Schizosaccharomyces pombe: one gene and its partners. The protein of the gene in region 1 purifies or fractionates together with the protein of each later gene. This does not show direct contact. Each region holds a gene or a part of one and is shown on either strand. Other genes may lie near its edges.

What was found.
Region 2: the proteins of rec8 (region 1) and psm3 purify together in Schizosaccharomyces pombe (affinity purification with mass spectrometry; one study listed by BioGRID). This does not show direct contact.
Region 3: the proteins of rec8 (region 1) and rec11 purify together in Schizosaccharomyces pombe (affinity purification with western blotting; 3 studies listed by BioGRID, with this or other methods). This does not show direct contact.

The regions. Positions count from the first base shown.
Region 1 is NC_003423.3:2,566,901-2,570,658, reverse strand, and holds the start of rec8 (meiotic cohesin complex kleisin subunit Rec8), read right to left. Parts: upstream 1,722-3,758; coding exon 1,666-1,721; intron 1,657-1,665; exon of another isoform or gene 1,623-1,656; coding exon 1,435-1,622; exon of another isoform or gene 1,383-1,434; coding exon 1,286-1,382; exon of another isoform or gene 1,234-1,285; coding exon 1-1,233. Other genes in the region: atp7 (F0-ATPase subunit D), read right to left, coding at 2,431-2,958; oxidative stress transcription coactivator/ribosome recycling protein Oxs1, read right to left, coding at 3,494-3,583, 3,692-3,758. UniProt on the Schizosaccharomyces pombe protein: Involved primarily in the early steps of meiotic recombination. Required to ensure reductional chromosome segregation.
Region 2 is NC_003424.3:1,223,014-1,226,771, forward strand, and holds the start of psm3 (mitotic/meiotic cohesin complex ATPase subunit Psm3/Smc3), read right to left. Parts: upstream 1,846-3,758; 5' UTR 1,824-1,845; coding exon 1,809-1,823; exon of another isoform or gene 1,766-1,808; coding exon 1-1,765. Other genes in the region: rio1 (RIO family protein kinase), read left to right, coding at 2,586-2,712, 2,798-2,923, 3,026-3,758.
Region 3 is NC_003421.2:1,225,338-1,229,095, forward strand, and holds the start of rec11 (meiotic cohesin complex STAG protein Rec11), read right to left. Parts: upstream 1,632-3,758; 5' UTR 1,589-1,631; coding exon 1,324-1,588; exon of another isoform or gene 1,258-1,323; coding exon 1,145-1,257; intron 1,130-1,144; exon of another isoform or gene 1,060-1,129; coding exon 961-1,059; exon of another isoform or gene 912-960; coding exon 562-911; intron 518-561; coding exon 373-517; exon of another isoform or gene 316-372; coding exon 1-315. Other genes in the region: G1/S-specific B-type cyclin Cig1, read left to right, coding at 2,208-3,455.

The DNA of each region.
Region 1 (3,758 bases):
GCCTGGGCCACTACAGGTCGTTTTAAATCATTGGGTAATAAGCTTGAAAATGTTATGCGCCCATTATTTTCATAGATAGCCGTTTTTGCATACTCATAAAAGTTTGCGCATTCTTTTTCCATGCTCAACATTAAATGTGCATTTTCTTCTTGAGTATTTTTGTATAGTACGAAGTCATCAGAGAGTTGTAATGAAAGTTCTGAGTTCAGAGTTTCATGAAATTGACTTGATTCTAAGGCAGGAAGAAATTCTACCCTACTCGGCATCGATGGGCTATGCGGCAAGCGCTTCCTATATTTAGTGTCAAGCAAGGGGGTGGAATGCTCACTACCAGTTTGAGAATGGCTTTTAGAATTTATGGCACTGTTTGATCGAGATGAAGTATTCCAAGGTATGTTTAAACCTAATTCACCCTGAACATCCCGTCCAACTTCAACTTCAGAAGTATCAATGTTCCTCAATACATCGTCAATTTCAGAGGGAGTATTGTTTGATGGTTTGAGCTTTTCAATCCATGGTTTTAAAAGAGGATGGAAAGATTCCCAATCAAAGAATTTGTTCAATTCTTTCTTCTTTGCCGAAGAAGCTCCTCTACGACGAACATACTTTGTTGCTTCCAAAGCAATCATTCGTTCAACATAATTCTTTCTCCATTGGGACAAAGTTCGAGTAGACAGTTCTATGTTTTCATCTGGCTCCAGCAGTTTTTGGACCTTTCTTCTTTTTAAAGCTCGCGGTTCATTTTCATTATGCTCTGAATCCATAACAGATTGCAATGGAACGGGTAACGGTAAAACGTCCTCATCGATTTCGAACATGTGAATCCTTGATTCTTGTTCTTCACTATTGTATTCTCTTTGAACGGAACCAAGATTGCTATGTTGTGAAGCAGCTTGTAGCGACGGATCCGAATTTATAGTGCCCTTGGTCAATTCCTGGATATCCCCGTTTTCATCAAACTCAAAGTCAAGGGGCTCTTCTGTAGAGAAAGCTCTGGAGTCCTCGTAAACAAAGCTCGAAACATTGTTTCGTAAACTATAATTTTGGCTGGTATTGATCAAATAAGAAGTAGAATCTGGAAGAGTTTCAAGAACTGAAATATTGGGATTTTCCTTGGGTTGAGTGAAAGAACTCATGTCAACATGTAGATCCACAGAAGGTAGATTAAATGCATCGTAGAGACTAACTTCAGGGATAAATGCAGGATCTTCTGCGAGTAGTAACTGCTTTGGGCTAAAAGGTTAGCAATTTGAATATCTGTCATATTATCCAATAGTACTCGTACTTCGTTTGTTCATTCTGAATATCGATATTCTTAAACGGTTTTGAAGTGAAATGGTCCAATTCTTTTCGAACACGTAAATGAAGAGTTGAAACTTGGGCTAAGCATAATTAGTAAGAAAATTGCCAGCCTAAACTACTGTCATCACATACAATGGAAAAATGAGTATTGATGGGCCCATACACGCGTTACACCAATCATTAAATTACTACTTAATCGTAGTGCCAACGGTTCTGGAGAAAAGGCAACAAAATCGCAAGCTTCATCGATATCTACCGACATAATGTCTTTCTTGTGAAGCTTGCGTAATGAATGTTTTGAACCCAATGTAGCAGCGAGCCTATAATTATTAGCTTTATTATTATCTTGTAGTAAATCTATACCAAATTACTCCCATTCCTCCCTTTTCCTTTGTAAGAACATCTTGATTGTAAAACATGGTGAAAGACAGGAACGCGTTAGTTCACCAGATAGCTTATTAAACGCGTCAAAATTATATTTGAAGTTCAAGCATAGAAATACCGCATTGTTAAACCATATGAGCTAATCTCACATAAAATCGTTATTAACGAATACTTAACAGCTCGGCACATGTTATCCAACGTATACTGCAGTGAAGTCTCCATTGCTAATATATATTGTCTTATTAAAATCTAAGTAAGGATTGAATATTTAAATATCATTACTTTGATTGAGTCAAAACACAATGTAATGGAAGCTAATGATTAATAATTGAGCTAAGATATGTGATTTTAGTGCCCTTTCAATCTTGAGCTCTCCTACCAAGGTATCCATAGTTAATATTGTACAAGCAATTTCATTATTGTGCCACTAGATCGAATAGAGATTATACGAATATAACAAAACTTAACGTAAGTTGACATAGCTTATTAAAAGATCGTGGAAATTTTTAACGCACTATTATGCTGTGAACGATGTTTGTATAATAGGTTAAATAAAGTCATTCAAGTTGTACTAAGAAGTTTGAAACTCAATAAAAGAATTTTAATAATAATGGTTAAACATTTCAACATACTGCTTGAAACCATTCATAAATACCGAAATTTTATCTATCTTTCAACTGACATTTATTTGTATTGATAACACATATGATTGCTAGTTATAAAATGTTTCATTAATGGAGCAAACTACATAATACTCAAATCACCAAACTTTTCACGGTAGCCTGGGATGACCCATTTGCCCTTGGTAACCATTGTTTCAACAATCTTCTCAATTTCGGGAACTGCTTGTTTCATATCCTCAATGGTAATTTCTTCAGTAGGCCTAGCTTGTTCAATGTTCTTCAATGTAGCACTCAAATTCTGTAATTCAGCTTTGACAAGTTCGACATTCTTCTTAGCACCCTCGCTAGCTTTTGCTTCAAATGCATTGATCGCTTTGAGTTGCGAATTTAAATCAATCTTCACAGGTTTAAAAGATTTCATAGAAGACTCAATACGATTTACAATCTCCTTGTTGGCTAAAACACTACGATAGGTAGCAAAGTCGACTGTGGTAGCCTGCTCTCGCAATGTACCCAATTTGGCAACTGCCTGAGCATGACGAGAGCGAAAATTAGCAATAGCAGAAGCAGTTGCGGCATCAAGCTTCAGCTTGCTAGCTACACTAGCCCAATCAATCGCCTTTCCAGCAGCGCTAGCAACTTTCGACATTTGCGTAAATAAAGAAGAAAAAATTCAAAATTCAATAAAATAACAGTTATATTGTTAAACAATTTAACTGTCTTATAAATATTTCCTGCTTTTGGTTATGTGTTGAAGAGATGGGGGTAGTTGGGGAACGGATGATTTAGCATTGCCAGAGCCATATTGCCAGGTGGTTTGGCTTTCAGCAGTAGGCTTCCTTAATGGTTCAAAAAATATCATATAATTGGGTAAATGAAAGCAACAAGTACAAAATTACTACAAAAAAAAAAATTAAGCGGTTAGAATAGAACTTGTGCCCTACAATTAGTATACGCTCCACTCATTCTTGTGCTAATAGAAATTCAAAGTTAGCTGTAAATTTTGATTTACCGGTGTATCACCAAATCACTTTGTACTTCTCATGTTTAATTTAAGATTTCATTTTTGAATGTCGAGAAAAATTATTTAGTAATTGGTTTATTGATAATTTATAAATAATATAAAAGAATTACCATAGTAAAAAGGAAAAAGAAAAGTTCTAAACATATTGCCATAACTATAGTTACTCGCGTAAACGTGCTTCCAATTCTGCTTTACGAGCTTTACGAAGCTGTTCAACCTCATCTTGACTAGTGTTATAGCTCACATTCATCTGAAATTGTTAGTAAAAATGATATTTACAATGGTTTTCCTGTTTAGGGTTTATACATGATATGGTCATCATCAAAAAGAGTATGCATGTACCCTTATCGCTTCTTACCTTATTGAAAGGATTGTCCGGATGTTTCTGAAATTCTTTATACATTATGTCTTCATATTGGTTTAAA
Region 2 (3,758 bases), on another chromosome or scaffold:
CATCAGGATAAGTAACCGCCTTTGGACGAAGCTTGTTCAAAGGCATGAACGTAACTCTACCGGCATTTTCTTTATATATAACGTCAAGAATTTGAGTTGCGGTTTCATCGTTATCTACCACGATATGAAATAGACTGTTCCCAGCAGTAGCCTCAACAGCGACCTTGAAACGGTTATCAACCTTGAAAAGCTCACAAAGTGGACCATAGTAACCTTCGAGTTTCAGACGTTCAGCAATGTCTTTGACAGCTCTAATACCATTACTTGTATTCCGATCCATTGTAGTCCCCAAAGCCTTCTCAGAACGAGAAAGATCGTCCTTAACATTTTCGATAGACGACTTAAGTTTGGCTTCTTCTCTCCACAGAGATTTCCTTTTGTCCGTCAAATTTTCTTTCCTTTCATTAATTGAAGTAATGTTAGCAAGTAGTTGCGACATTCGATCACCTTGAGATTCAAGGGAAATTTCAATTTCCTTTTTACGAGATAATTTTGCTTTGAGTTCATTTTCCATTTCGTCATACTCAGTCTTCAAGTAATCACTGTTCTCCTTTGTAGAATTAATGTTACGGTTGATCTGTAAGAGCTGATTTCTGATCCATTCATCACGTTCTTTTTTGGTAGTGAATTGAGAAGTCCTCGATTGCTTGTCCAAAAGTGATTGCTTCTGATTTTTGAGCAGCATGATTCTTTTATTAAGATCATCAGCTTCAGATACTATAGCGTTATACTTTGGAAGAATTTCTGAAAGCTCATTTTCTTTCTCAGAGATTTTTGACTCTAATTCAGAAAGTATGTTGAGCTTTGAGCTCTCATCTTTCTTCGAAAATTCAATTTGACGTGATAATTGAGAAGACTGTAATTCCAATGCGACTTTACTTTTCATAATATTGGTATAATCCTCATCGTTTTGCTGTTTTTCAACACGTAAAAGCTCAAGCGAGTGGTTGAGCTCTGTAATTTCAGCCTTAATTCGTTCAATGCGTTCCTCTCTTTGAATGAAAGCACCCGAATCATCATCATTACGCTCAAGTGCAGCTATCCGGTCTTGTTCTAAGGCATCCAATACGGAGTTAATCTCATCATGCTCGCGAGAATAAATAGCATATTCCAAGCATCTTCTTTCGTTGTCTTTTTTGTGATAAACTGCAAGATCGTTTTTCTCCTCTTCTAACTCACGCAACCGTTCTTCAATGTATTGCAAAAGTTCATCAATTTTCTCCGATTTTTGAATTGTCTCGTCCATAATTTTATTGGATTCAGCTCTTCTGTTCTCATAAATTTGAGTACCTGCAACCTCTTTTAAAAGTTCTAAACGCTCTGAATCCTTTGCATTGGTTAGGGATGTGACCCTTCCTTGAGGAACAATGTAGTAAGGATTGGATCTTGAAAACCCAGCAGACTCGAGAAGATTAATAACCTCTGTCTTGCTTACAGTTTTCTTATCCAAAGAGTATTCGTCTTTTTTCAATCCAATTGTACGACGCAAGACAACTTCGCTTTTACCGGTGGGAAATCGATTATCAGCATTAGCGAACGTAACTTCAACGTATGCGCTCATGACAGTTGCACCAGGGCCTTCATGCAGCAAAGCTTGTCTTTCTTCACGGCTTAAATGTGTATACGCATCACTTAATACGAATCGAATTGCAGCAAAAAAATTGCTTTTACCAGATCCATTTCGTCCCACAATTACATTGTGGTGAGGGCTTAAAGGCTCTATTACAGTATAATCTTTATAAGATTTAAACCCTTGAATAACAATCTTAATAAATCAGTTAACTGGGGTTCTATAATGCTTTACTTACTTTTGTGATATACATAGATTTGTGGTTGGTTTGGGTTAAAGTATTTACGCGTCGCGTGTCTTCTTTATGGCGTGTAAGTATCAATCTTTGTGGTAACAGAGTTCTAAGAATCTACAACATAATAATTCATTCATACTAACCAAGATGAGAAATTCTTTGAGTTGTTGATGTTGATTTTGTTATGTTTTTTCTATATGAAACTGTATTAACTGAAGATCGTTTGCTTTTCTCTTTACTGCCGCATCAATTTCCAAATATAATATTTCTTTATTAAACTACTGGGAATGCACAATCAAATTGGTAGAAAGCGCGCTAGCTTAATTGAGTATGTGATTTTTTAGATGCCAAGTATGCATTAGTGTTAAATAAGCAAGCTGCTCTTGAGCGTCAGCGTTTCAGTAATGAATTTAAAAAAATGCATATATGAGCTTATGTATTGTTTCTTTTCTATCTGACTTTTTATTGTCAAGCTTTAATGAGGAAAGCCGCTCACACTAACATTAAATGTCTTTTGGAAATGTAATATATATTTTATTGATCGAAGAATGGAAAAAATATAATCCACTAAATTAAAAAAAAAATCATTGGTTTGCAAAAATCATCTTGTAACTTATGGTAATCATAATTTGCTAACTTCTTACATTTTTATATACCAGTTTTATTTACAACAAAAAGTTTTTACTACCACCTACAAAATACAAAAACTTGGATTTGTATCCAGTTCTTTGTCAAATTTTTAAATAAATTATTCTTTTATTGATTTATTTAAAGTTTAAGATGGTTGAGGAGTTAAAAAACGATGCACAGACAAATGAAGAAGAATCAGAATATAGCGACTTTAGTGATGGCTCTGACAATGATTACTTTAGGGAAGACGATATAGACTGGAATCAAGCTTCTTCAAGTAAGTTCATATACTGAATAGCCAAAAGCACTTTGCATGAATTTTTGTTACCATTTTTCATGATCATTAATAACATTTTTACTAGATTATTCTGCTAGACAGGAAAATTTTGGGAATAATTCTTCTAAGATCAATTCAGTTAATGATCACGTTTCTACGCTTAGTCGTTATGTGAATAATATAAAATTAAATGACAGGTTTGAGGCAGAGGGTAAGTGTAATATAGTTTAACTGCTCATAGGTTTTAGAACTCGAGGTCTTTTGATCCTTCACACTTTTACATTTTCATGTTTAATAGTACTGACAAATAAAGACAAGTCATCTATCAAGGATAAAAGTGACCGCGCTACATCTGAACAAGTGCTGGATCCCCGTACTCGAATGATTTTATTAAAATTAATAAATAATGGAACTATATCAGAAATTAATGGTTGTATAAGCACGGGAAAGGAAGCAAATGTGTATCATGCAACAAACGAGGATGGTAAACATTTTGCTATAAAAATTTATAAGACTTCAATCTTAGTATTTAAGGATCGTGACCGCTATGTTTCTGGAGAATTTCGTTTTCGTCATGGGTATAACAAGCGCAATCCCCGAAAAATGGTACGCTTATGGGCTGAAAAAGAAATAAGAAACTTGAAGCGTGTGGCTGCTGCTGGTATTCCTTGCCCAGAGCCAATCTTATTGAAGCAGCACGTTTTGCTTATGTCGTTTCTGGGGGACAAGAAAGGATGGGCATACCCCAAGTTAAAGGATATAGATATGACGCCTGGTGAGGCTACTAAATTATATCAGCTTGTAGCACGGAATATGCGTATTTTGTTTCATGTTTGTCATCTCGTGCATGCTGACTTGTCAGAATATAATTTACTTTATCATAAAGGTAAAGTTTATTTTATTGATGTATCACAATCGGTTGAACATGACCACCCGCAGAGCATCGATTTTTTAAGAATGGATATTTTAAACATTTCTACATTCTTTAGGCGTTTGAATGCTGGTTGCTTATCTTTACCTCAATTATTTAAATTCATTACTGAAGA
Region 3 (3,758 bases), on another chromosome or scaffold:
ACAATAATTTGCGTAGCGTTCATTAGTATGGGCAACGAGGATTCGCATTGTCGAGATTCGATTCTGGGGCTTCCCGTCAAATATGCAGCTAGAAACAATATTGATACATTTTCCATTCAACGATATTTTCTCCATCAGTTTCTCGCATGTCTTGAGGGCAACAGATCGAACAGAATCAATATCGTACCGACATATCTCCACAATTCTTAACGAGAATCTGTCAAGAAAATCAACCACAAAATCTTGATCTTTTTCAGGTTCATGAGAAGAAAGATAATCTATTATTTTTAAGGAGATTTTTCGGATTTGTGATTCCTATACGTTCAGTTAGTATTTAAATGATACAGCAGTAGCGATTGTTTATACACTTACTGCATCAGATAACCCCCAGCCAGAATGTCTAATCAAATTTCTGTTTATAAGATAGGTGGGAAGCAATTGGCAACAATCATATAGAGCAGTAACACACACTATACGAATGCTTGCACGTATATCATGAATCCTTGAGAATAGTACACTAGTAAAAAGGTTAGAGTCGTTAAGAAAAGTAGTATTGCCAACCTATCACAAATGTCGTGAATCATGTCAATGAACCTAGATGTTAAGTCTCTCAGTACCAGAATTTCCGCAGTTTGATTTGATTTTTCGGAAAGTTTGTTTACTATAAGGCATAAGCATCGCATGATATCACAGCAAATAGTTGTTGCAGTATGTCTAACAAGCATCCAAGGACTTGTCGTCATGGTAAAAATCCAAGCTTTTGTAGTTTCCATGAATGAGTCTCCGAGGAATGCGTCTTCCACGTAAACTTTACTGATGAATTCGACCAAAAAAAGCTGAAAACGAATACGCACCGTTTTAGCTTCTTTAGAGTTAGAAGTATAAAGATAATCAGTATAAGCGCAAGAAGACTAGCGATATGTATGGTAAGTAAATATTACAAAAAGATGATGCACACACCTTTTGAAAACTTGAACGATTGACCTGAGACAATGTTTCAGGAATTGAATCTACGTCCTGTACATCAAAGTTCGTAACGAAGGGTTGACAACCAGAGGCCTATGAATTAGTTTACGTTTCAAAGGAAGAGTAAACAAAACAGCAAAAGCTAGAAAACGTCGCGGATCATTCCTGCTAAACTTACAACTAATGCGAAATTTATAAAGGTCAGCATGAAGTCAGCGCTATTACTTTTATAGTCTTCAAAATAATGTTGAGAAAGTTGCTCGAGCGGCATATCTATATCCAACAGTTTGACTTTTCGTATGCTTGTTAGAATATATTATCGAAGACTTTTTTTCTCTTATAAGCAAGCAAACTTACGAAAAAATTCTTGTGGAAAGGCATAATCATGAGAATTTACGTGCATCTCTTCATTCGTCTCTATTTCATTATTTTCTTCATTCTCCGTCAAAGAAAATTCATCTTGTGTTCCCCATTTCCGCTTTTTTTCTGAGGGCGAGGCACAAATGCTGACATTCTGTAAACTTGGACCTTCATATTCAACATTTTCAAGCTCCACGCTTTCTAATTCAGTAAGGACTTCATTGAGATGACTGCTTGCATCTGATTCAAATTCGAATCTCATTGAAATCACTCAATTAATTGGTACGATGGTGGTTGGTTATGGCAAAGATTAATCTAACAGAAACGATGGGTTTGTTTACGTGACACGAGTCGCGTCAGTCAGTCATTAATTATTTTGCAGTTCACATACAACCATTGCAATCAAGTATATAATAATTTATTAAAGTTTTACTTTTGAAACATAAAGTAACTAATTTATGAATAAGAACGCGTTTTTACTCGGAATTTCGGGCTTTTCCCTGACCCCTTTTGAGAACCCACCAACTCCTTTTTCTCATTAGTAGTAGCTCGGTATTCCTTTGCAAAGTCCTACTCCAACTTTTGGTTAATACTCTTGTTCGTTGGTTTCATTTGAGATTTTTAGTTCTTGTACTGTTGTAGTACTAATCTTTCTGGTCAATCCAAAAGATTACTTTCCTCGAATCCTTCGTTCAATAGTATCTTCATATATTTGGGTGTAGAGTCATTTTTTCGAATTTTTAGAAGTCGAAAAGCATCTAAATTTTTAAGGATCTTTTCCAAAGAGAAGACTAGGGTTCCTACCTGAGTAAAAGGCAGTTTGAAAACCGACTTTCATCGCATGTCCAAAACTTTCTAAACAAGTGTGTGCTGGTTTACTAATGGACGTTTCGACTCAAACAAGACACGCAACATATTTTCAAGATGAGAATCAGCTACAAAAGGATCACATTTATGTGAAGAAGAAAAGTCACATCAAGTTAAATACGGGTGTTCGTGCACCTTTCAAGGCAGTAGATAACATCAATCAACAAGATGAACCAACATTGATTGAAGGGAATAATGAATCCTCCATCTCTTCGTCCACTGGCGACACTTTTGAAGAGGATTTTGCATACCAGGACAAAGTCGAGATAGAGGAACGGTCAATTCGCTCCACTCCTAAGTCTATTGGAGATGATGATTTGGAAAACCGTGAGGGCAGCTTTGACGCACCTGAAGGAATTCTTACACACGGGAAGCATAGACTACCAACAATTCCCGAGTGGACCAAGGAAGATTTAGCCGCCCTGTCTGAAGCTGCTGCTCGATTACAAGCTAACCCATCGCCTGAGGATATAGAAACTGATCCATCCATGGTACCAGACTATGATCCTGAGATATTTCACTACATGCAATCTTTGGAAAGGAAGCTGGCTCCACCTCCTAATTACATGTCAGTTCAGCAAGAGATTGACTGGGTTACAAGACATATGCTTGTTGATTGGATTGTGCAAGTTCAAATACATTTTCGTTTACTTCCTGAGACATTATTTTTGGCGGTAAACCTTATCGACCGGTTTCTTTCCATAAAAGTCGTATCTTTGCAAAAAGTCCAGTTGGTAGGTTTATCAGCTTTGCTGATTGCCTGTAAGTATGAAGAGATACACCCTCCAAGCATCTACAACTTTGCGCATGTTGTCCAAGGGATCTTCACCGTTGACGAAATCATTAGAGCCGAGCGCTATATGCTGATGCTTTTGGATTTTGACATTAGTTGGCCAGGGCCCATGTCGTTTTTGCGTCGTATAAGTCGAGCTGATTCTTACGATCACGACATTCGCATGCTCGCCAAATATCTTCAAGAAGTAACCTTGATGGATGAAATTTTTATAGGTGCCCATATTAGCTTCATTGCTGCTACTGCCTACTACTTGTCTATGCAGATGTTGGGTCATTTGGATTGGACTCCTTGCCATGTATATTATAGTGGGTACACGGCTCGTCAATTGAAACCGTGTGCCATAATCATTATGGAATGTTTGGTCGATGCCCCTAACCATCACAATGCCATTTACCGAAAGTACTCGGAGAATAGAATGAAGCGAGTTAGCGCCTTTGCTCACAACTGGGTACTAAGTGTGATTTGAGTTTGCTTTCAGAAGTTGTTAACAATGATATTCTGAGTTAGTTTGCTATTATTAAGCCTACGATATTTATTATTACGGATCATTGTCTTAATATTTCCTACAGCAATCACTCGAGGGCATTTTATATCTTACCTAAGGTAGTAGTTTTTCTCCACTCCGTTTGCTAAGTTTGTCGTTTAAACCACCCCTATTATCCCCCAGAGACTTGGAACTACTGTCTATTTTATAACTATCTTTCCGAATTCCCTCTTCCATCTTGTTTTCTATATCTTTTACTATACTTAAATAACGTTACGGGTATCT